4 linked regions of the Arabidopsis thaliana genome follow. The protein of the gene in region 3 interacts with the protein of the main gene of each other region in a pairwise test. Each region holds a gene or a part of one and is shown on either strand. Other genes may lie near its edges.

The links.
Region 1: the proteins of SPL15 (region 3) and CRF8 interact in a two-hybrid assay, tested with the Arabidopsis thaliana proteins (one large-scale study listed by BioGRID).
Region 2: the proteins of SPL15 (region 3) and AGL86 interact in a two-hybrid assay, tested with the Arabidopsis thaliana proteins (one large-scale study listed by BioGRID).
Region 4: the proteins of SPL15 (region 3) and TRB2 interact in a two-hybrid assay, tested with the Arabidopsis thaliana proteins (one large-scale study listed by BioGRID).

The regions. Positions count from the first base shown.
Region 1 is NC_003070.9:26,819,403-26,824,877, forward strand, and holds CRF8 (Integrase-type DNA-binding superfamily protein), read left to right. Parts: upstream 1-3,114; 5' UTR 3,115-3,474; coding exon 3,475-3,960; 3' UTR 3,961-4,269; downstream 4,270-5,475. Other genes in the region: AT1G71110 (uncharacterized protein), read left to right, coding at 1-69, 162-220, 323-359, 455-526, 621-942, 1,028-1,450; GLIP6 (GDSL-motif lipase/hydrolase 6), read right to left, coding at 1,670-1,905, 1,993-2,458, 2,533-2,672, 2,772-3,018; AT1G71140 (MATE efflux family protein), read left to right, coding at 5,360-5,475.
Region 2 is NC_003070.9:11,316,585-11,321,881, forward strand, and holds AGL86 (AGAMOUS-like 86), read right to left. Parts: upstream 2,964-5,297; coding exon 1,944-2,963; downstream 1-1,943. Other genes in the region: AT1G31620 (uncharacterized protein), read left to right, coding at 357-423, 585-678, 872-968, 1,233-1,310. UniProt on the Arabidopsis thaliana protein: Probable transcription factor.
Region 3 is NC_003074.8:21,442,322-21,448,731, forward strand, and holds SPL15 (squamosa promoter binding protein-like 15), read right to left. Parts: upstream 3,715-6,410; 5' UTR 3,532-3,714; coding exon 3,218-3,531; exon of another isoform or gene 2,956-3,217; coding exon 2,813-2,955; exon of another isoform or gene 2,737-2,812; coding exon 2,129-2,736; 3' UTR 1,922-2,128; downstream 1-1,921. Other genes in the region: AT3G57900 (import inner membrane translocase subunit Tim17/Tim22/Tim23 family protein), read right to left, coding at 1-64, 152-253; AT3G57910 (D111/G-patch domain-containing protein), read left to right, coding at 450-575, 742-1,287, 1,415-1,480, 1,588-1,647; AT3G57930 (rho GTPase-activating gacO-like protein), read right to left, coding at 4,929-5,354. UniProt on the Arabidopsis thaliana protein: Trans-acting factor that binds specifically to the consensus nucleotide sequence 5'-TNCGTACAA-3'.
Region 4 is NC_003076.8:26,953,667-26,960,290, forward strand, and holds TRB2 (Homeodomain-like/winged-helix DNA-binding family protein), read right to left. Parts: upstream 4,109-6,624; 5' UTR 3,858-4,108; intron 3,442-3,857; 5' UTR 3,408-3,441; coding exon 3,258-3,407; intron 3,181-3,257; coding exon 2,960-3,180; intron 2,876-2,959; coding exon 2,791-2,875; intron 2,718-2,790; coding exon 2,634-2,717; intron 2,537-2,633; coding exon 2,177-2,536; 3' UTR 1,902-2,176; downstream 1-1,901. Other genes in the region: DG1 (Tetratricopeptide repeat (TPR)-like superfamily protein), read left to right, coding at 1-5, 117-230, 328-421, 512-669, 750-1,157, 1,230-1,814; FRO1 (NADH-ubiquinone oxidoreductase-like protein), read left to right, coding at 4,407-4,565, 4,713-4,801, 4,986-5,115, 5,297-5,326, 5,634-5,690; WIH1 (cysteine-rich TM module stress tolerance protein), read right to left, coding at 6,088-6,133, 6,271-6,427, 6,515-6,560. UniProt on the Arabidopsis thaliana protein: Binds preferentially double-stranded telomeric repeats, but it can also bind to the single G-rich telomeric strand.

The sequences.
Region 1 (5,475 bases), on a different chromosome or scaffold from region 3:
TGCAGCTGTAACACTGGGAGAGACAACAACAGATAACGCTGCTAAAATTAAGAGAGTTTTCTATGCTGTGTAAGTTGCCCTGTACTGTTAGCTGAGTGGTACCAATTTATGATTAACAGGGAAGACAGTGTTGATATAACTCTGTATATGTACATTTTCAGGCGATCAGCTTTGATCACGGTCGCTACTGTGATGCTCATCCTTTCTTTTGTAGGTCTATGTAAGTCCAGTTGATGTGTATATGCTTCTTTGGTATCTCCTTTTTATTAGCTGTGACATCCACTTGACTTCAACTTTTTATCTGTTATTTGCGTTATTACAGTGCTTTCTGTCCTCCGCCACCAACATGTTGTTCATATGTGAGCCTTTTAATCCCCAACTTCTTCATTTTCGTTAATTTATAGTGGTTTAAAATAAATTGAAAGCTGACTGATGGGGATGTATATAATGATAGATTCGTCGTGAGTGGGTGGATACTTGTGGCTGTGACATTTGTTCTTTGTGGAGTCTTTCTGATCCTAAACAAGTAAGATTTTGCTGTTCTGAATGTTTGTTTTCTCTTGCCTTATTAAGTAGACTCGCAAATGTAGTCAACTAAATGTCATTGTTTTGGTGTCCAGTGCAATTTCTGATACGTGTGTAGCAATGAAGGAATGGGTTGATAATCCTCACGCAGAAACAGCTCTCAGCAGCATTCTCCCATGCGTTGATCAGCAAACAACAAACCAGACTCTTTCACAGAGTAAAGTTGTTATCAACAGCATCGTGACCGTTGTAAACACCTTTGTCTATGCTGTTGCCAATACAAACCCAGCTCCAGGTCAAGACCGCTATTACAACCAGTCTGGACCTCCGATGCCTCCTTTATGCATCCCATTTGATGCAAACATGGAAGATCGCCAGTGCTCGCCTTGGGAACTATCAATAGAAAATGCATCATCGGTACTTTCCTACTCACCTATCTTTGTATATCTTGAACAAAACACCACCAGGTCTGAGACATGTCTTACTAAACTTCTCTTTTCAGGTCTGGGAGAATTACAAATGCGAGGTTACACCATCTGGAATCTGCACCACCGTGGGGAGAGTAACGCCAGATACCTTTGGACAGTTGGTAGCAGCTGTGAATGAGAGCTACGCTCTAGAGCATTACACGCCTCCATTGCTTAGCTTCCGAGATTGCAACTTTGTTAGGGAAACATTTATGAGTATTACCTCAGATTACTGTCCACCGTTAGTACGTAATCTGAGGATTGTGAACGCAGGACTCGGACTGATCTCCGTAGGAGTCTTACTATGTCTGGTGCTATGGATATTCTATGCGAACCGCCCCCAAAGGGAGGAAGTGTTTGCGGATCCACACCCTCAAAGAAAAGATGATAGCTTTGGTAACGGCTTGGATACTCATCACTCAGATGACGAACCTAAGCTTTCTGTAGAATGCGTATAGTATAGAGGTATAGTTAGATAGAATCAGATATTGTATTTCATAATGATATGAAAGAGAACAATAAAAACATTTTGTAGCGTTCATGTTACAGTAGAAGAGGAAGAAGAGACCAGAAGTGGAGCGAAGTTTCACTTTCTGGCTTTTGTTTTCACAATGATTTCGAGTCTTAATTCAGATACAAACTCATTATGAATTCTATATACAAGGGAGATATAAGTATTAAAATGTGATCTTGTTGGTGGCAAGAGCCATGAGATTAAATGGTCTGATATGGTTTTTGTTTCCATTCCATAAAGCTTTTGACATGAGACGGTAAGTGTGTTCTGTGGGATGATAAAAATCCCAAAACAGAAACTCATTTGGGTTATTGCAAATCTTGTATCCTTCTCTTCCACACTGCATCAATCCTCCCAGTGTACCGTTCCCACAACACGCGTTTGAAACATCCGAAAACCCTTCACCAAAAACATGATTCAGCTTTCTCATAGACACATTTGAAAAAGATCTCAAAGATGGAAGTTAATTAACTATATTGAGTTTACCGTAACGGGCAGGGTAGGTTTGAAATCTGTGAGTGATACCATATACAGCTCCAAACACCGCAATGGCTCCAGGGTACTTAGTGGGGATTATGTTCACTATATCTTCAAGTCTTTTATTATACATCTTGGCCATAACATTCATCTTACCAAAGCATTTATTGGTTGGGGCATTAGGAAGCATGGCTCTTGCAGGGACACAACCTACAGGACCTAAGGAGAAGAAAGCGATGCGGCGTGCGCCTAGTTTGTAGATCTGATCAATCGTTTTGTTCACTTGGTCTAACATTGCGTTCACATAAGCGTCTGGAGAAAGTGTAGGAGCTCGGAATGGGAGGAAGTAGTTGAAGATGTCGTTAGAACCAGTTTCTAATAAGAAGAGAGACTCTTGGATTATAGATTTTTCGATAAGGTTTTGCTCTACAAGTGTCTGGAATTGCTGTAGCTGGGTTTGGATCGGTGTCACGCCCTACATTTGATATGTGTACTTAATGAGTGATTCACAAGAAACAAACATTTTATTTGGTCAAGGTAGATATTTACCATAAATTTGTTGGTATCAAGCAAGAGACCACTACCAGCACTAGCAAAGTTAATGCCATTTGAAAAGTTTGAAGTTCCATTCAAGATTTGAATCTGCAATTCCAAGAATGGTTTCTGTAATGGAAGGCCTACAAATTCCGCTGCAATTATTGCGTCAAGAAAAGAAAAAAGAGACAAAAGTAAGGTTCCTTGCAGAAGAAGAAATGTTTTAGTTAACGAGTTGGGAGGTAATTTGTTACAGATGAAGTCAGCGACGGTTCTTCCGTTGGTGAACCTCCCAGTAGGACGGTGGAAAAAGGAAGAACCATAAGGAGGAAAATCAGCCTGAGCGGTACAGTTTTTGTTGTAATGGTTGTTTCCGGCGTCAAAAATAGAGTCACCGAAGGTAAAGATAGCAGGGACGGTGGAAGAAGACTTGGCCAGAACAACCGGAGAGATTAGAAGAAGCAGACACATGAGTAAGTCCATTGAAGAAGAAGAAGACATGGGACAAATGAGTTTATAATCATATAAAAGGAGATTATATACTGACACACATATATATATATATATATATATATATATATATATACAAAATTGACACGGAAGGCAAGAACATTGTTCATGTTTTTGCACTTACTCTTATGTGTGATTAAAGTTTCAAACTTATTCCTAAATTTCTGCTTCTTATTACATAGATGAAGGAAAAAAGAGTAAAGCGTTTTTTCCTTTAGAAGATGGGCTTCAAGCCATGTTGAGAAATTTCATGGATTTTACTGCATTTTCAGCTCTGAGGCCCATACGGCCCACATAGGATTGGTTAGAAAAAAATAGAGAAGTAAATAAGTAAAGATGAAAAGCATCAGAAAAAGAGATTCTGAAAGAATAAAAACATATTCTTTCTCTCAAATGCTTTCCTTTTAATGGAGACGAAGACGGAACCCTAATTTCCGCAAATTCACTATGAAGCGTATTATCAGAATCTCATTCACCGACGCAGAAGCCACCGATTCTTCTAGCGACGAAGACACGGAGGAGCGTGGAGGAGCATCCCAGACTCGGCGCCGTGGGAAACGCCTCGTTAAAGAGATCGTAATCGATCCTTCCGATTCCGCCGATAAACTCGATGTCTGCAAAACACGGTTCAAAATCAGGATCCCGGCGGAATTTCTCAAGACGGCGAAAACGGAGAAGAAATATCGTGGAGTGAGGCAGAGGCCGTGGGGGAAGTGGGTGGCGGAGATCAGATGTGGAAGAGGAGCTTGTAAAGGACGACGTGATCGTCTCTGGCTGGGTACTTTTAACACTGCTGAGGAAGCTGCTCTAGCTTATGATAACGCTTCAATTAAGCTGATTGGACCTCACGCGCCGACCAATTTTGGTTTGCCGGCGGAGAATCAAGAGGATAAGACGGTGATTGGAGCTTCTGAGGTTGCTAGAGGCGCGTGAAGTGGGGTTGGTAATTTAGTTGTTAGCATTAGCAAGAAGGTCTCTCTCGTATTTTGTAAATTCATCTTCTGATGTTGTGTATGATCTTGATGTCTTTCGTCTATGTATATATATGAAACTCGAGAAATGAACTATATTTTGATTTACACACAAATTTTAAGGTACAAATTTTTTTGAATTTTTAAAACGTTTAGGAAAGAAAAGTTTGGGTTGAAATAGGCTCTTTTTATTTGTATACTATTCAATCTTTTTACCATTTATGGATCAACACATAATAGAACAGAACTCTAACCAAATTGAACGTTAATGACTTGGATCAGAGTTATATTTTGATGGTTGATGAAAAGTTGAAAATTCTTTATATATCTTTCCATCTTTTGGTTCTTGTATCACCGTATCAACGATACATTTTTATACTTTGGGGTGTCTAATGAAAAATACTGAATTTATCAATTTACTTTGACTTGTTGAAGACTGATGGCCATGGGTGAGGGGTTTGGAGATAAAGAAAGTAATAAAGAACATGAAGAGATCAGCTAAACCAAGAGACTTCATCATACACATGATATATATGATCTTCTATAATACTATAATAGTAATGACTAAAGAGGAAATGAATGTTTTCGATAATAGTAGTGACTAAAGAGGAAATGAATGTTTTGACAAGAAAAAAAAGAAAAAGAGAGGAAATGAATGTTTACATGTACGTGCACATGAGTTTAAAAATAATAAGTTTGAGGAAACACAAGTGCGTTAGAAAAAAAGCAAACAGATATTTTCTTTTGACTTACGATTATGAAATTGAAAAAAAAAAGGATCTGAAGATAAATTTTGATTGGTTCACAAACTTCACATGATAAACAAGAAGATTTTTCTTTTTTGAACAAATCTTTTGATACCTTAAAGAGGAAGATTTTTGATATCAAAATGAATAAAAAAACAAAACAGAGAAAATTTTGTTTTTGATTCGTTTTGATACCTTTATGAGGAAGTAACATACTTATATTCAAAATGAATCAATGAATCAACATTGTAATTAATTAAATTTTTAACAGACCGCTTGACTAATTAAACAAGTTAAGATTATAATATTTCAACGCATTATTGTATAGTACTTTGGTGATTTGCATGTAAAGTTTTTTTTTTTTAACAAAGACTTTTCTTAATTTGCTATAATCAAGTGCCATTATTTAGATCGAGAGAGAATTTATGGCGGCTGAATAAGAGAGGACGACGCATGTATCTGTATCTCGAGGTGTAGAATCAATATACGACACGCCGCTATAAATTCCACAGAAGATATCATATAATATTAGTATATAAAGTATAGGGTTGATTCGGAGAAAGAGGTTAAAGTATTAGATTGAAACAACAAATCTCAGGGGAAGAAGAAGAGAGAATGGATTCGGCGGAGAAGGGCTTGCTTGTTGTGAGCGACAGAGAAGAAGTAAACAAGAAAGATGGGTTTTTGCGGGAAACGAAGAAACTTAGTTACATCGCCGGTCCGATGATTGC
Region 2 (5,297 bases), on a different chromosome or scaffold from region 3:
TAGACCATATGACCCGTTTTAGTTACGAACATTATGGATTGGGTTTAGCCCATGGTTAGATGACCATTTGACAGTTCTAACTTGAGTTATGGGCCTCATTAGGCCCATTTGATATTCACATGGGCTGATTAATATATTAAAAGAAAAAAAAAAGAAATTTGAGAAAGGAATAGCTAGGCCTAGGGCTTCGTCAGGAATCTCCATGAAACGCAAGGACGTACAGATTTTGTAGCAGCCGAAGTAAGTTAGGTCCGATATCGCTACAGTATCTAGATTGCCTGCGAAGTCTGTAATGAAGAGCCACAAAAACTAAAGTCATTTGCCGAATCAAATCTAGGGTTTGTTTAGGAGGCGCCATGAAATGTAACGAGCGAGATTGTAATAACGATAACGGGGAGGAAGATGAGAAAGACACAAACACAAGTAGGTTAGACTTAGATTCGCTCCCTCTTGATCTAAATATGGTTGTACTAGCTAGATTGCCTGCCAAGTCTCTTATGAAGTTTTGATTCGTGTCAAAGATGTGGCAATCCATCATCCGAAGCCGAGGGTTCATTGATTACTTCTTCTCTATGTCCTCGAAGCAATCGCGGTTAAATTACCTGCTACCACTGCTTTGATCGTGGGATACGATCCTATTGATGATCAACACAAAGCATTATCCTTGAAGAGAAAAAGGTATGATATCTAGTGGTCATCTGGAGAACAAGTTATGAACATTGGGAGATGGTGAAGTATGGATACACATTAAAGATACCCCTTTACCTTATAGGGCGGGTCATCAAGCGAGTGTATTCATCAACGGTTTTCTCTACTAAGCTGCTTTCTTAACCAAAACTAAAGAGACAGTTTTGGTTTGTTTTCATTTTAGAACTGAGAAACTGAGTTTTATCAATGCACTTAAGGGTTTTGTGCAATGGGGAAGTGAAGCAGTATTCATTGAATACAAAGGGAAGCTTGCTTCCATTGTGAGCGACCATTATGATCGGTTTCCATAGTTTCGATTTATGGATACTAGAAGACGTCGAGAAACATGAATGGTCAAAGCAAACATGTGTGTTTCCCTCCTCTTTTTGGGATGATGTTGAGTGTGCTAAAATGTCATTTCCAGACACCAACAAGGCTGGTGAGATCATTATTGCCCCAAAGAGGTTGTCACTCAATTTTCGACCCTTCTACATTTTCTACTACAATGTTGAAACAAAAAACATAAGAAGAGTTAAAGCTCCTAGGATTTGGAGACAGTGAAGAGTTTAGGCGCTCTTATGGATTCGAAAGAACCTCCGGCTCCCGTGAATCTCTTGTTCTGATCGCACATAACCACACGTCCAGAGTGTTGGCTTTTTTAAGGATCCTAGAATTAATTTAACTTGATTCGTAGGATCCTAATGTAAGAGATAACTGAAAACTTGCCTTTTATTTTAGTTTCATTATTTTATCATGTTGATTTTTCAAATTTTCAACACTAAACAAGCTACAGTTTGTATTGTTAATCTTTTGGGTTTGCTGAGACGTGTGTTCATTATTTATGTTCATGTTTTTACTTCTTTAGTGTGTTCATTTGCTCGCTATATAGGTAGGTGTGGGAAGTAAATAAATTATGGATTGAGAAAGAGATATACAGAGTATTGATGTTTTTGCGAATAATATATCCAAAGTAAGATTTTCTATGAAACAAAATATATTTGATTTTAGCAGATCTATTTAGTTATGTATTTTAAGAACAAAAAACAAAGTAAAAACAAATTTATGACCAAACTTCTTCAAATATAATTGAAATATCCGGCTCTACGGCGCAGAAATACATTACCCAATACATAAAAATATAACTGACTTAAAGGTAAAACCTTCAACTCTTACAACAATTAACTGAAAAGAAAAGACATTATTAGAGATTGGTCTTTTGAAATGGACAAAACACAAATGCAAACTACTGAAACACATCACACAACGGTGGTGTTGGTGGTGGTGGTGGTGGTGGCGTTGTTGGAAGGCATGTGACCGGTGGTAGTAAGACCAACGGTTGGTGGTTGGTGGTAGTTGTAGTAGTTTCCGTTCATGAAAGGGATGTGTGCATGCTCTGCAGCATAACCCACTTGTTCATAAGGATATTCCATCAACATCTCCATGAATGGATCATCTTGAAACGGATACTGATGATTTGGATCCAAACTGAGATTATCATAGATTCCATGTTGGATCTGATGATTAAAATCCACAGGAGCTTGGTATTGAATATTATCACTAAAAGCAGTAGGGATATAGGGCTGAATCGGCTCATACTGATTCTGAGCCATAGGAGGACCGGCACCCGCAACAGCAAGAGGAGCCGCACCCACACCCGCAACAGCAAGAGGACTCGCACCCGCCCCCGCAACAGCAAGAGGAGCCGCACCCGCACCCGCAACAACAAGAGGAGCAGCACCCGCACCCGCACCCGCACCCGCAACTGAAGTATGAAGCGGAGGAGGAAAGGAAGAAGAAGACGCACCATTGTTTGTAAGGAGCATGACACTTGAATTAAGCTGATTGATATAGTGATCAATATAAAGACTTAAATCTTGAAGGTCCCTTGCACCATACTGATGCTCACTCATCTTACCTTCAACACAATCAAACATAAATTGCCTAAGCTGAGATTCTCGGTTTTCACGACGTAGACTCTCCAGTTTCTTTGTTTCTTTGGTAATTTTGTCCTGCAAGTAGGTCTCATGACTCATCATCAGCTTGGATTGTTCTGTCGCCGGCCTCTCCATAAACATGGAAACCGCCTCTTGAACACCTTCGGTTGACGGCCACACCACTGGATTCTCGTACGGACTGGAGATTACCGCACATGCTTTGACGCCGCAGAGAGTTGTTAGCTCATGGAGTTTGTTCGTTATCCCTCCCTTCCTCTTCCTGAATGTGGTTCTCCTTGAGGTCTTATTAGCTATGAGTGATAACTTAATTTTCGACCTCATTATCTTTGTTTTTCTTTTCTTTGGTGTGTGTTTTGTTTACTTTCTTGGCCCAAGACTGTCTTGTTTATATAGAAATGAAAATTGTGCTTTTACACAGTACGTGGCTTTTCACGTTGCTGGACTCATTAGATTTGTTTTGTGTTTACTGTCTCATTAATTGACGAGGCCACTAATTAAAGCTATGTCTAAGAATAGATTTTCTTTTCTTTTTACTAAGAATAGTTTATCTTCCTATATTACTCTCACTTTTCTTTTAAGAGTAATTTAAAGTTTTGTTTATAAACTATGAAATTTAGTAATAGTTTGAAGTGTTTTTTTTTCTTCTTTTTAAATAGAGTACTCCATCTTCAATTTACATGTAAAATCATGAATATATACAAGCTCAAAAGAGTTGTTTATTTATAGAAAAAAAATGAAAACAATATAACGTGAGTCTTACGAAATATTTAGAAAGCACGAAAGTTTTTGAAAACAATGTAACATGAATCTCACGAAATATGTGTTCTATTTCTAAGAAAATCTTTAAACTACCTATATACATTAAAGGAGAACATACCAAGAAGTTTGTAAACCAATATAATAAGATAATAAAATATCATTAAAATTTATATTAATTAATTTAGTAAAAATATTTGATACTTACAATAATAACAAATGAAAATATATAATAGTAGAGTATTAGAGAAAAATATATTTTTTTAAATCTCAGATTTGGTTATATGAACTTTTTTAATAAATATATTAAAAGAACATTTGTCATGGCCTGCAGGTCCACCTGATTTTTTTTAATCATTAAGTTGATTCTAATTAAAAGGAAATTTGGATAAAATAACTGTTTTATACATTAATAGATGGATTTCTTTCCTCTTTTGGCTCAGTAATAAATTAGTTTAGAGATAATTTGTTAAATCATGCATATATTATACCTTTTGGAGAATACTTTTTCTTTTATTGGGTTAGAATATTTCATTGCATTGCCAGCTAATTATAAGCTGTAAATAGGGAAATTAAAGATTTTAGACTACGTATAGAAAACTTCCAGTTGTTTTTACATACCCAAAGAAATATCTAAACTTTAAAGTATTAATATTTAAATATAGTTTAATTATATATTAATTTTTGGTTTAAAAGCAAAAAATGAACCAATTAAAAAAAGACAAGTGTAATATACCCAAAGTTCAAGTTAATATACCAAAAGTTCTTATTTAAGAACCTTTCTCTTATTTCTCTCATACTTTTTTTGTGTGGTATGATTATAATGAGAGAGAATCCAAAAAAAATGGAGGTCTAACAATAACCAAAAAATAAGAAAAACAAGAATGCACATCGTTAATTAGACTTTGTTTGACTGGTTCTCTTCTTATCAATTACATTTACAAAATGTAGAAATTTCTCTAAAATAAATAGCATATTTATTGATTTTTGATTAAATGTTTTCAAATAGTTATAAAAATACTATAGAGTAGAAGATATTACATGAGAGAATGGTAAATAATTCAATCCAGTAGTAGTTTAATTTCCATTCTCTTTAAATGCTAAATTTTATTTCAAGCTCACCGTATATTTTTGGCTCAGATAATAAATAACTTTCATCTGCCATAAAACACTAATTTTCATGTTTATTTATATGTTTAGTTAGGGGCGACTTAAGCTACTTATAGTTATAGGTCATGTTCAAAAGTTTAACTATAGATATCTTAAATAAGGTCCATATATATACATAAGAACTTTTTTTGGTAATCACGATCCGTTTAATCTATGTATTTAATTTACACATACTAAAACAATTCAAGGTATAGTCGATCTTATCTGAACGTTGTAGTAAGCATAACTGGTCACCAAAAATATGTTCTTAGTTGAAGTACACACTTGAATCCAACCCAAAAAACCTCGTCAGTGTTGGGATGATACACGAAGTGAAGCCTATAGTTGAAATAGAACGCTAGGAAGCCATTTTTCTAAAAAAAAATCTTAATGAATACTTAGTAGGTGATAGGTACAGATAGAGATACATTAAGGCTTGTGTTAATTTCAAATTACCTTAGGCCCATAATATATGCATATCCTAAAATATACCTTATTTTCTTAATATCTCAGCTTTTTATTTAAAATTTTCAGAAGAGCCAAATCAATTTAACCATATTCAATCTTAATACAGTCTTTAAAACGGTTTTTAAAGGAGAAGCTTCAGGTGGCACGCATCGAACTAGGAAGACCCTCTAAATCAAGGAGAAGTATCAGAAGGCACTTTACTTAAACACCACAGTCTACTGCTTCTACTTGGAGTTGTATTCACTGAATTACCTGCCTTAGCAACTGCAAACAAAAAATAGA
Region 3 (6,410 bases):
CTCCATTGAAGAAATCTCTCTTAGCTCTAAAGTTCTGCACCAACTGTTCAACACCAATGAACACCTCCAATGGCAGCAAAAGTCAGCCCGTGGCTTCCCATCATCTTCAACGTTCTGATGAGTCCTGGAAGAGCAACGTTTCTTTCAATACGAGGGACGTCTTTCCAGTTGCAAAACCAGTCACAGCATCTTTGAATGTCTTCATCATCGCTCCATTTTCCTCTTCCAAGTATCTCATTTCTGTAGGATCCATGATAATTTCTTCAACCGATAAAGCTTAGTCCTTTTTATGTCAAACGTGATCTAACAAAGAAAATTGGCAGCAACGACATAGTGGAGAACACAGCCAAATACTATTATTATTGGGCCTAATTAAAGCCCATTAATGATTCTCTTTTTTTTTTTGTTGTTCTCCCTTCCTCTCAGCGCGAACGCAAGCTCCGTCGGCAATGGCAGAATCGACGAGAAATCTGACTGGGCTTGGAGGAGAAGCAGCGAAAGAAGAAGATGATGAGTACATGGGAGACCTTTCTCAGTTTATTCCTCAGGAACTTAGCCAGACCTCCAAAAGAAAGGTATCTTCAGGCCAAAATTTTCATCTTCTTATGTCCACAATTGTCAAGCTCCTGAATCCAAATTTGTCCAACTGATTTTGAATAATCTCCAACAAATTTCGTTTAGTTTGATAGCTGAATGAGATTTTGGGATTATATTTAAATTCGTATATAAATGCTTTTGCAGGAATCTGAGAAGAAAACTGTAATCGTAGAACCATCACGGAAGAAGTTAAAAAATCTCAATTGGCACGAGAGACGAAGATTGGAGAAAGAGAGGAAACAGATAGAAGAAGATGAGCAGACATTGGCTCGTATAGTAGACACTCCAATAGGAGAGTCTAACATAGGGTTTAAGCTATTGAAGCAAATGGGTTACAAGCCAGGTTCTGCTCTTGGTAAACAAGGCTCTGGTAGAGCTGAGCCAGTGACTATGGATATTCGAAGATCGAGAGCCGGTGTGGGAAGAGAGGATCCACATAAGGAGAAGAAGAAAAAGGAGGAGATTGAGGCTGAGAATGAGAAGAGAAAAGTGGATGAGATGTTGGAGGATTTTGGGTCTAGACAGAAGTCTCAATGGCGTAAGAAAAGAGTTTTGATTAACTTTAGGAAGGCTAAGGCTGCTCTTGATCAACTTGAGAATGTAGAAGTTGTTCCGGAGAAGAAAAATGAGGAAGATGAAGATGGTAAGCCTGATGAAGAAGAGGAAGAAGAGGAGGAGATCACTGAAGAGGTATGTTCTCCTAGGAAACAAGAGTTGGAACTTTTGGTGTCTTTCATCTTTATGAGTAATGGGACCAATTGATTAGAGTTTGAGACACTGTTCTTTAGGTTGACAAGTTTAGTTTTACTGGTTGCAGGATTTGCAAGAAATATTAATGAAACTGAGAGCTGAACATTGGTATTGCCTTTTCTGCGGGTTCCAGGTAACTGAATGCTTTGAAATCTTCTTTTATCGATGTTTTTTCTGAATCTTGAATGTTGAGTTTGTGTAAGTATACACTAATATGAAATTTCACGATATGTGAATCAGTATGAAACGACTGAAGCTCTTCTATCCAACTGTCCTGGCGTAAATGAGGATGATCACTAGATAAGCCACACTAGTATGGAAGCACACAAACACAATCCATGTCTGCAGAAGCTTCAGGTTGAAAATTTCCTGATGTGGCTGAAGAGGAAGCAAGATACAGAAGGAAGACTGTGTTTGCAGTTGAGGTACACACTTAGAATCTTAAGGACTTGCTAATTCTCATGCTTTTAAATAGATAGTAGGATGATAAAAGCATGTGGAACTCTGATTTGATAAGACAATATATTGATGATAATGTTGATGTTTCAATTTGATCTCCAAGTATGTAACCTGAGTTTCTGTTGGATGCAAATCGTAAACTATCGTAGAGATCATCAATAAAACCAAAGTTCTTAAAAAGATAAAAAGCCATGAAAAAAACATCCAAACGGAAAGGCATTATCGGGCATCATTGCCTGGTTTTAAAGTAGCACACAAGAGATAGTTGATAAGATTTTAGTAACAAACTGATGAAGATCTTAAAAGGTGAAAGAGATTAGACTCAAAGAGACCAATTGAAATGTTGAGGAGAGGAGTCATAAGCTCTTGTGTTCTCGGGTTCCATGTATTGCTTCAGAACCTGCTGATGAAGATACAGCTCAAATCCACCCATTGTGGTGCCATTGCTTATCTGGAAATCTGCTGGCTCCGAGATTTGACTCACAGGAGACATATAATGTGAATTGCTCTTTTCGCCCGCGATGACTTCCCAAGTTTGGCTGAGGTACTGCTGATGTGTTGAGATGGGCGGCTGATGGGTTGAAATGGGCGGTGGCTGAGCCATTGTAACCTTATCGGAGAATGAGATCATCGAGTCGAAACCAGAAGATGGTCGCCATGTATTTGTTGGTGTCTGAAGTTGCTGCTGATGAATTGGGTATGAGTTTGACAGAAGAGAGAGAGCACAGCTTGAATCTGTGCTATTGTTGTTTATCATCTCTGGACATGTAGTAAAGCTTGAGCTTCCATGTGATAAAACATTCATGTGTGGATGGGTTTCCCTAACTGGATTAATCTGCCACGGTCCAGGCCGCTGCATCACTGATCTTGCGGTTGACCACGCAGTAGGATCTCCCAAAACGCTTTTAATCATTGCAGCATTGGGGTTTCCTGACACACAGGAAATTCAATAACTTGTTTTTGAGACTCATTGAGCTGAAAAGGGCTGTGTATATTGGGATCTAACCGTAAAGAGATGGAGCGATTCGAGAGTAATGAGAAGTGAAAAGAGCCGTTGTGGGTTGTGGTTTTCTTCGTCGTTCGTTATGACAAGCGAGTCTTCTGCGACAACTTCTTTTCTCCAAGTCAAACTCAGAAAGCTGGTGAAACCTGATTTGATATAAAGAAAAGAAAGCTTCAAAGAAAAGCAACCTAAATAATGCATAAGACAAGAGACAAGACCACATAATAACTAGCTGTAAAGTTTAAGTTTTGATAAGACTCTTCAATGACGTTAAGAGCCAAAACTCAAAAAGCTCAAAAGGAACATAAAACCTGAAAAAAGCGTAAAGCTATGGTTCCCTTAGAACTATTCCGATCACCGGAAATGGCAAAATGAGTAAATAAAAGGAAGAAGAAAAAAGGGGGAAACCTGCTACATTGTTGACAAAACCTTTGATGAAGACCAGAGACAATGACTTTAGATGATTTAGAGTGAATGCAACAAACTTTGTGTCTCGAGTAATAAGCTTTAACATTGCTTAGATCCATTCTACAACCTTCCACTTGGCACCTCGCCGTGGTAGACGACTTACGAACGGTATTGACCCGGTTCTTGCTTCTGGATCCGGATCCATCCTCGAAGTAGATCTTCTGACCAAACCTGAGTCCACCACTGAGTGAAGAAGACTCGGTGGAAGAAGAACCACCTGACTCGGCCTGACCCGAACACATTAACAACTCCATTATGGTTTTGGCTTCCTCTTACTCAGACAGAGAAAGAGATGCTTCTGCTCATCACTCTCTTTCTTTCTAAGTACTGAACTCTGGAAATAGTAAGGACGGAGGAGAATAGAGGAAAGAAAATGTGGTTTTGCAGATTTTAGATGTTGCTATCTTTTAAAGAATCAGAGAGAAGAGAAGAGAGAGAAAGAAAGAAAGAGAAGCTGACAAAAGAAGAGACACTCAAGAGTGATTGACACTAGTCCACGACAGCTACGTGTTTTTAGCGTTTGCGTTTTGGGATGTTGGTGCGTTTTGGTGGTTTTTGTAACATCTGAACAAATAAACACAAAAGGGAGGATAAGGATATTTTTCTTCTTTAACGTACAAAATGATATCCTTAAACGAGACCAGACCAGATCAGGGAACATAACTCCCATGTAAAAATCTACAGCTAATTTATTCTAATTATTGTATACTAGTTTTATACTACTAAAATAGTCTAATGATGATAAAATCACAAAACTATTGATCTTTATTGTAGTTTGTAAAAATATGAATAGATCACAGACCTATAAATGGATGGCTATTTAACTACTTCTAAATACTATTTCTAATTAAAGAGAAACAACAACTTTATTGCTCATTTTTAAAATTCTAAAGTAGAAAGAATTGAGGATTATGGGCAGATAGACCAGAGTGTTGGAACTCAACTAAGGATGTGACTCTTCAAAGGAACTAGAAGGTTATTGAACACTTTTTGAGTTTAGTTCTATTTTTTTTTCTTTCTAAAAATACTTTAGTGATTCTTTTTCTTTTAAGCAATGAGATTTGTTCTTCTTCTTCTCACCATATCCTATGCAAAATCTTTCTTGATAATTGAACAAATATTTATGCAAAAAGAGAGTATGGGAAGTTCGATTTTCACGGTCATGTATCCATCAGAAATTGTGTACTTGAATTTTCTTAGGGTTGTGTGTATCAGTTTGATATTATTCCTTTTACTTTTTGCTTTAAGTTCCTTTGTTTTGATTTCCAAAATTCTACAAAAATACAACCTGAAAAAAGGCCTAAAGCCCCCCCCCCCCACTAATCTGGCTTGACTATCACAAATCTTCTTGATATTTCTTCCTACAATGAACCTTTTCTTTTTCGCTTTTCACAACTTATGACTGTTTCATTTTTGCATAGCCGTCAAAGAGCATTTTTAGGCTCCACTTTGTTCAAAAGAAAGAGTGAGTTTCAGAACGCCATGGAAACTAGGAGGGAAGAGCAATATCCGAAAAATCGAAGTTTTGATTCCATGTAATGAAACCAGAACGCACCCGCATCAAACTCGGGTTTATAACAGCAAAAGTATCTAACAAAAACAACAAAAAAAATACCAAAAAGGCGGTTTCAAAAGCGTTAAGAACCTCTTTTCAAACCCCATTACATTCAACAACAGCTTCAGCAGCTCGTCTTGGTTTGTTCTTCCTTCTGCTCCCATTCTGCCTAAACCCAATAGACGACGATGATTTCATAGAATCTTCTGTGCTTGATTTTGACCCTACCCCATTCTCTTCTTCAGTTATGTTGCTCTCTTTAGACTCCACTGGTTTCTTCCTCTTCCTCCCATTCTCTGTCACATTTTCTTTACTTGTTACTGAACCATTTGTATCATCATCCTTGTCTTCTTCCTCATCTGTCTTCTTCACTAGCTCTTCTTCTTCTTCTTCTTCATCTTTCACCGGCTTCTGTGGCCTCCCTCTTTTCCTAAAAGCTGGAATCTTTTCTTCCTCGCCGCTCCCTCGATCTTCTCTAGCAGTAGCATTCTGCCTCTTGCCTTTTCCTCTACCTCTTCTCATAACTCTATTCAAACCAAAAACCAAAAACCTCAAGCAACTAGACAAGAAACCTGCAAGTTGAAAAGGTTGCTTTTTAATTACCAGTAGTAACTCATACCTCACAACAACACAATGAAGGCGAACTAAACTCAAACACTATAGAAATTTGTTGAAGAATGCAGACTAAAAAGTGTGAAAAGCAATGTCATTTTTTTCGATATGCACAAAAGTAGAGGATCATTCAAACTGGCAGACACTCCATAGAGGAGGAACTATTCATTGAAGAATCAACACAAGCGCAATCATAAACACGAAAGCAAGATTCCATTTTTTTCATGCATTAGAAGCAGTGCATTGAACAAGTTATTTAACAACATCCAAATACAAATTCTTTCCAAAAAGATCTGAACAAAGGAAACATATATAAGCAACACTTGAGTCACGAGACATTAAACAATTTCATCTCTTAAAAACCTATCCTTTAGAGCTCAATAGAAACCAAGAACTAAGCTACAAGCAAGTTCAATCAATTATCTTCCACGAAAACTAATTGCATGAACAGTCTAAACAAGAAAACAAGCCCTAGTTTCCTTACAATCTCTTCAAAACAGAGAGACAGAGACTCACCTGTGAACCCATTGGTCAGACTGAGACAAAAACCCCAAAAAACCTATAAAGGGTTTCTCTTTTTACTAATTTATAGTTGGGTTCTCAATCGATCTAACTCACGAGTTTCTACAGCTAAAACCCAGATCAGAGGAAAGACTAAGAGTCTAAAGAAAACTGACCAAACCAAACGGAGGAATCAAATCGAATAAAAATCCAAAGGATAAGACTCAAGTTAAAAGAAAGAGATCTAAGAGAAGAAGGAAGGAAGAAAACGAAGAGAAAGAGCAACAGCTAGAGTACTAGTGTTGGTTGAAAAAGATTAAAGTTGATTGCTTTCAAAAGGCTTCTCTTTTCTTTGTTCTAGCTTCTGTCTCTGAGTGAAACTTAAAAGAAAAACGTAAGAATGACGCTTTTTCTTCTCACTACCATCACTGAGACTGACTAAAATGGATCTTAAGCCCGTTGAAG
Region 4 (6,624 bases), on a different chromosome or scaffold from region 3:
ACGCTGTAAGTGAGCATTTCCGAGTTTTAAACTTCGTTTAATATCTATATGCACTATGCAGCGAATCACTGTATCTTATTGCTGTGTGATCAATTCTTGGCTTCACTGGTTCCCAGATTCTTAACGCTTGTGTTCCAACACTCCAATGGAAGGCTGTTTCATGGGTATTTGTAGAGTTAAGAAAAAATGGTTTGAGGCCTAATGGAGCTACATATGGGCTTGCGATGGAGGTAGCGTTCTTTTTTCCAACATAAACGAACTGCTGTGGTGTAGTATTTGTGGGTACCCTCAAATATGTAGGGTGGTCTTAAGATGTCATTTTGACAGGTTATGCTGGAGTCAGGGAAGTTTGATCGTGTTCACGATTTTTTTAGGAAGATGAAAAGCAGTGGCGAAGCTCCAAAAGCAATCACATACAAGGGTAAATATTGATTCTCTCTGTATATTTAGGTTACTTCATTTTGGTATCTATAAGGTGATATGATTCTTATAGCGTATGATTGATTCTCAGTTCTTGTCCGAGCTCTCTGGAGAGAAGGCAAGATCGAAGAAGCTGTTGAAGCAGTCAGAGATATGGAACAAAAGGGAGTTATAGGAACGGGTTCAGTTTACTATGAATTGGCATGCTGTCTGTGCAACAACGGGCGTTGGTGCGATGCAATGCTCGAAGCAAGTTCCCTCCTACTTTACCCTTTTTGCTTCTCAGAGAAACCCACAAAATTAACTTTCTTCATAATTCATTAATGCAGGTGGGGAGGATGAAAAGACTTGAAAATTGCAGGCCGCTCGAGATTACCTTCACAGGACTCATAGCCGCTTCATTGAACGGTGGTCATGTTGATGATTGCATGGCTATATTCCAATATATGAAAGATAAATGTGATCCGAATATAGGAACTGCGAACATGATGCTTAAAGTTTACGGAAGGAATGATATGTTTTCAGAAGCTAAAGAATTGTTTGAAGAGATTGTCAGCAGAAAAGAGACTCATTTAGTTCCAAACGAGTATACATACAGCTTCATGCTTGAAGCTTCAGCTAGATCACTGCAATGGGAATACTTTGAACATGTGTATCAAACGATGGTTCTTTCTGGTTACCAAATGGATCAAACAAAACATGCATCAATGCTGATAGAAGCATCAAGAGCCGGGAAGGTAACAAATCTTTGTCTAGTTTAAGTGTTTATGGAAGCATAAGCTGTTGTCTAATTTTGTTTGTTAATGCAGTGGAGTCTTCTAGAGCATGCCTTCGATGCAGTACTTGAAGATGGAGAAATCCCTCACCCATTGTTCTTCACTGAACTGTTGTGTCATGCCACAGCTAAAGGCGATTTCCAAAGAGCTATCACACTGATTAACACTGTGGCTCTCGCATCTTTCCAGATTAGTGAAGAAGAATGGACTGATCTTTTTGAGGAGCATCAAGACTGGCTTACTCAAGATAATCTTCATAAGCTCTCGGATCATCTCATTGAGTGTGATTATGTAAGTGAACCAACGGTCTCAAACCTCTCAAAGTCATTGAAATCTCGATGTGGGTCTTCTTCTTCTTCAGCACAACCATTGTTAGCCGTAGATGTAACAACTCAAAGTCAGGGCGAAAAACCGGAGGAAGATTTGCTTCTGCAAGATACAACAATGGAAGATGATAATAGTGCTAATGGTGAAGCTTGGGAATTTACAGAGACTGAACTCGAAACGTTGGGTCTAGAAGAACTCGAGATTGATGATGATGAAGAATCTAGCGACTCTGATTCACTTTCAGTTTATGACATTCTGAAAGAATGGGAAGAGAGTAGTAAGAAAGAATGAAAATGCTTGTAAATTTCCTCAAAATCTTTAGTAGAACAAAATCTCAATTTTTTTGCTTACTCATCTCACTTCAAAATAGTTTCAAGGTTACTAAACAGATCATCCACATACAATAAAAGATCAGTTATACAGAATCTCAGATTCGGAGAAAGAACATACATATGATCAAACTGCGGATTTACACTGTTACTAACCAAAAAAAGAGAGCAGATAGGTTTGGAAACTTAAAAAACTCTGCAGGTGATGAGATATCGCCTGATTCAAGATCGGCACTCTTAAGAAACCAGTAAACCCACTAAGTATATATATTTTATGGCTTGCTTTGTTACAGAACTTCCCCATGATGGCTATTTCTTTCTGTTTCACCAAGGATGATTACGGATCCTGAACTTCAAAGCTTTCATGGCTGCCTTTGCAAATATCTGAGCAGCTTCAGCTTCTGCTTCTGCTCTTTCTGCCTCTTTTGCTGCTTGTTCAGCCTCTGTGATAGCAAATTCTGCCTCTGCAACTGCTCTTGCTGCAGCCTCTGCAGCTTCTTGAGCTGTCATGCCTTTTATCATATATAATTCACCGTCTACTCGGAATTTAGTGAGACTGTTGGCACCGTTCTCCTCGGGTTTTGTTGGGTCTTTCTTGTTGTTTCCTTCCAGAAAGAGTTGAGGAGCCTTCTGTCTTGCACCTGCGGGAATAAAATTAGAAGAAAACCTGTACTTGTGCTTTATCTGAAAGTGAGAAATCACCAAGTAAGTATTTTTGAAAATTCTGAGAGTAATGAAGTGTTAGTGATCATGAATCTTGAATCAAAAGTTGTGTGTTTACCTTAACTAATGTTCCATTCGATGATAAATGCTTTAATCGTACTGCGACATGCCTTTTCATATTCGGTGGAGTCTTGAAATTCTCCTGAAATTTAACAGCTACTAAGTAAGTATGCAACAAACCCCAACCAAACATGTAATCCCAATGGTAGAAATACCTCTATATACAGAAAGATTGATGTTCTGTCAGAACCGCGTAGTTCCCTCAAGTTGGTAATTGCCTCAAAGATGATCTTATCCAAACTACAAAAACAGACAATAGCGCAAGATCAAATCTTTATGAACTCAAGAAAATCGTTATGTGGTGCATAAGTCAGGGAACCAAACCTTGTAATTGATCTCTTAGAAGCACAAGTGCGTGGTGATCCACCACCAGAACCTCCGGGGGAAGTTGGTTTTGCACGTTCATCATCATTAGTCAAAGCCACAATGGTAAGAGCTGTGTTGTTATCATCCTGTTTAGTACCTGGTGGAGTCCTCTTAAGCGCAAGTTTAGCCTTCTTCCTTGAACCCCATAAAGCTGTCACGCTTATATTTCTCCATTTGTCCTGTTATGCCTTGAACTATCAAGATTAGTCCGAAACACGCGATCACAACCTCCAAAAAGCATATTATATTGTATTACCTTAAGATCAACATTAGAGCGAGACTTAAGGATTAAACTAAACTCAGTATCCGAGAGTATGGTACGCCACTTCCCAGTCCCATGCTTAAGAACTCCAGCTTTAAGAGCTGCTTCTTCTTCCGGTGTCCACTTCTGCTTTGGTGCACCCATCCACAGTTATCAATATTTGAATTTCTTCTTTTCTCTGCCAATAGATGTGAACGCTAACATTAGAATCTGTTAAATCGTACGAAACTTAACCACATCAAAGCCATTGTTGAACATTTCTTATCCAATACAAAATTTTGGTCATCTAAATCCAGCAGATACACAAAGCCACAACATAAAAATGTAACTACACAAATCCAAAGAAATTAGATACGCCCCAAAGCTCAATTCAACAAAAAAATGAGTGATTCGAGCAATCTCGAACCAAAAAAAGAGGATCAAAGCCCATTAACAACGTCGCAAATCAACAGGAATTTGGAAATACAGCCATCAATCTAAAGCGATAGCTAAATTATCAACCAAATTCAAATGGGGCGATCGTAGAAAATTAAAAACAAAAATGGAAAATTCAGAGAAGGAAGCAGAAAGGAGGAAGGAGGAGAAGAAGCATGCCAGATCAAACGAAACCAAAGGAGAGTTTTCGAGAGAGAGACTTGATGATGAAAGCTAATTCCTTGTATAGATGTGTCATAGATCAAATGTGATTCGCTGAAACGAACGAAGAAGAAGAAGACCAGAGAGGCTAGCATAAGGAAGAAGAATATCCATAGAAACGAGAAACAAACTTGAGCTTTTCTTTTGTATTCAAGCTAAGGAAGATGTAACCCTATATTTCTCCACATTCACAAATTTGCCTCAAGTTTATCAAATTACACAATAAAACCTACCAACTAAATGAATAGGATCAAGCTGAATAAAATATACTAGTACTATTTTTTAAAAATAATGTATCTATAAAATTTATCGTTGTTAAATCTCACAGATAGTTTAGGGGCTATTAAAGATTTTTCATATAATAGTAAGACCGAAAGCGTAATTTATAAAATTTTGATGGCTAGATTGAAATATGTGTTTTTTTTTTCTTTCTAAAATCTACAGAAGTAGAAGAAACCAAAGCGAAATCAAAAAGCTCAGCAATTTTCCAGATTTCTCTAATTGACGATGGCGCTTTGTGCTACTACTCAAAGGACTATCCGTATAGCGGCGACGCTCCGGCGTGTTGCTCGACCTTTCGCTACTGACGCGGTGGTTGAGTCGGATTACAAGCGTGGTGAGATCGGTAAGGTCTCCGGAATCCCAGAGGAGCATCTTTCTCGCAAGGTAAATAAGCATTCGATTTCTTACGAATTCAGTTTAGAAAATTAGGGTTCGTGATCAGAGAATCGTCTTAATTGAGCTACATCGTGTTCTTGATTTGATTTTGGTCAATCGAATAGTGCTAAGAGTATTGAATTTGGAAATTAACAGGTGATAATATACTCACCTGCTAGAACAGCTACCCAGTCAGGATCTGGAAAACTCGGAAAATGGAAGATTAACTTCGTCTCCACCTTAAAGTATGCTACTTTTTGATTAAGATAATCCTCTTTTCCTCACATTTTATGTCCTAATATGATTCTTATCCTTAAAATTCCTATCTTTTCAAAACTTAAGTCTTCTGCTTGTGACTAGTACTAGTCCATCACTTGTTGATTAGATTTCGATTGACATCACTTATCTATGGCATTCATATGTTTCTAGGTGGGAGAATCCGTTGATGGGATGGACTTCTACAGGTGACCCCTATGCTAATGTTGGTGACTCTGCTCTTGCTTTTGATTCTGAAGAAGCTGCTAAGTCTTTTGCTGAGCGTCATGGTTGGGATTATAAGGTACGTTGTTTCCTTCTTCGTTTTTAGCTCATTTTTTTTTCTGGTCGCATTCACTCACATTTTATGAGAATGTGATGGTTCTGTTTTTTTTTTTTTTCGATCACCATTGTGATGGTTCTGTTTTAAGATCCCTTAATATAGAATTCAGAGTACTGAAAAACTTACATCTAAATCATTGCAGGTCAAGAAGCCCAACACACCATTATTGAAGGTTAGTAACTATCTTTTTGCTAATGCCGCATTATGACTTACGAGCTCTACTCATATGAGGTGTTTAACCCTAAAGCTGGAGATTCACTGGAACGACCCTTGAATGTTGTGTTAAATAGATAGGATATTCTTTAACTTAACTCATATTGCTTCATCAGAAATGGTTTGGTGCCTCTAGTTTAAGATTTAGCTACTAGTTTGACGAGCGATAGTCTCTTTCATTCCTTTGATTTATTTGGTAGAACATTCTTTAGATTGAAGTTTTAACCTAACCCCATGATTGTTCATCATCTAACATCTAACTGCAGGTCAAGTCTTACTCGGACAACTTCAAGTGGAAAGGCAATCCTCAACCAGAAAACTGATGTTACACCTTCTTCCAATTCTTCTCGAGCAAAAGAAGAAACCTCATTTGATATTAATTCTCATGTTTCTTTGTTATTTTAGCATCTGTGAGCTTTTTGGTTGAAAAGAACCATTATCCATGGCTATGTTTACTTATTACAATAATATGATGATGATGATGAAACACACTCCTTTGATATTTCATCAAGATTTCTGATCACTTCTTTACTGGTTTATTTCGAATTCGTGTGATTGGATTATGAAAGAGAGAGATAATTATGGTCGGAGTCAATAAAACATAAGATACCAAAATTCGAATTGAAAGAAGATAACAACAGAAGAAAGATTGTTGAACATTACATAACATATATGAGGAAATAAAAGTTGACTGAGGCAACGTATATAATTATCCTCCGATCAGAAACATGCATCCAAGAGACAGCAACAACAGAGCGCAGCCAAACTGTGACGTATTTATGAACAGAGCAAAGACATATATTAACTAATACAGTATTATTCCACTAAAACCTAAATACAAAGCAAAACAAGAAACCAAAATAAAGTTAATATAAAGTAGAAAAGATGGGATCAAGAACGTACCATCCTTCAAGCATACCGGCGTTTTGCTTCTGCTGCGGAGCTTGAGAGTACTGCGGCGGAGGATAACCTTGTGCAGGGTATCCCTGAGCATATCCTGGCGGTGGATAACCGGCTGGAGGATAACCGGCCGGAGGATAACCGTCCTTAGGTGGATACCCTTTAAACCGAAATTCAAGAGCAAATTAAACAAGCAGATCGAAGAAGATAAACCAACTATCCAAAACTAAAGAAAAAGAGATAATACCTTGGGGAGGAGGAGCACCGACAGGATGTTGTTCTTGATGATACATCTTTCTTCTTCTTCTGAGTTCTTTGAGCTTTTTTTTCTTTCTCTCTTTGTTTAAAAGCAAACTC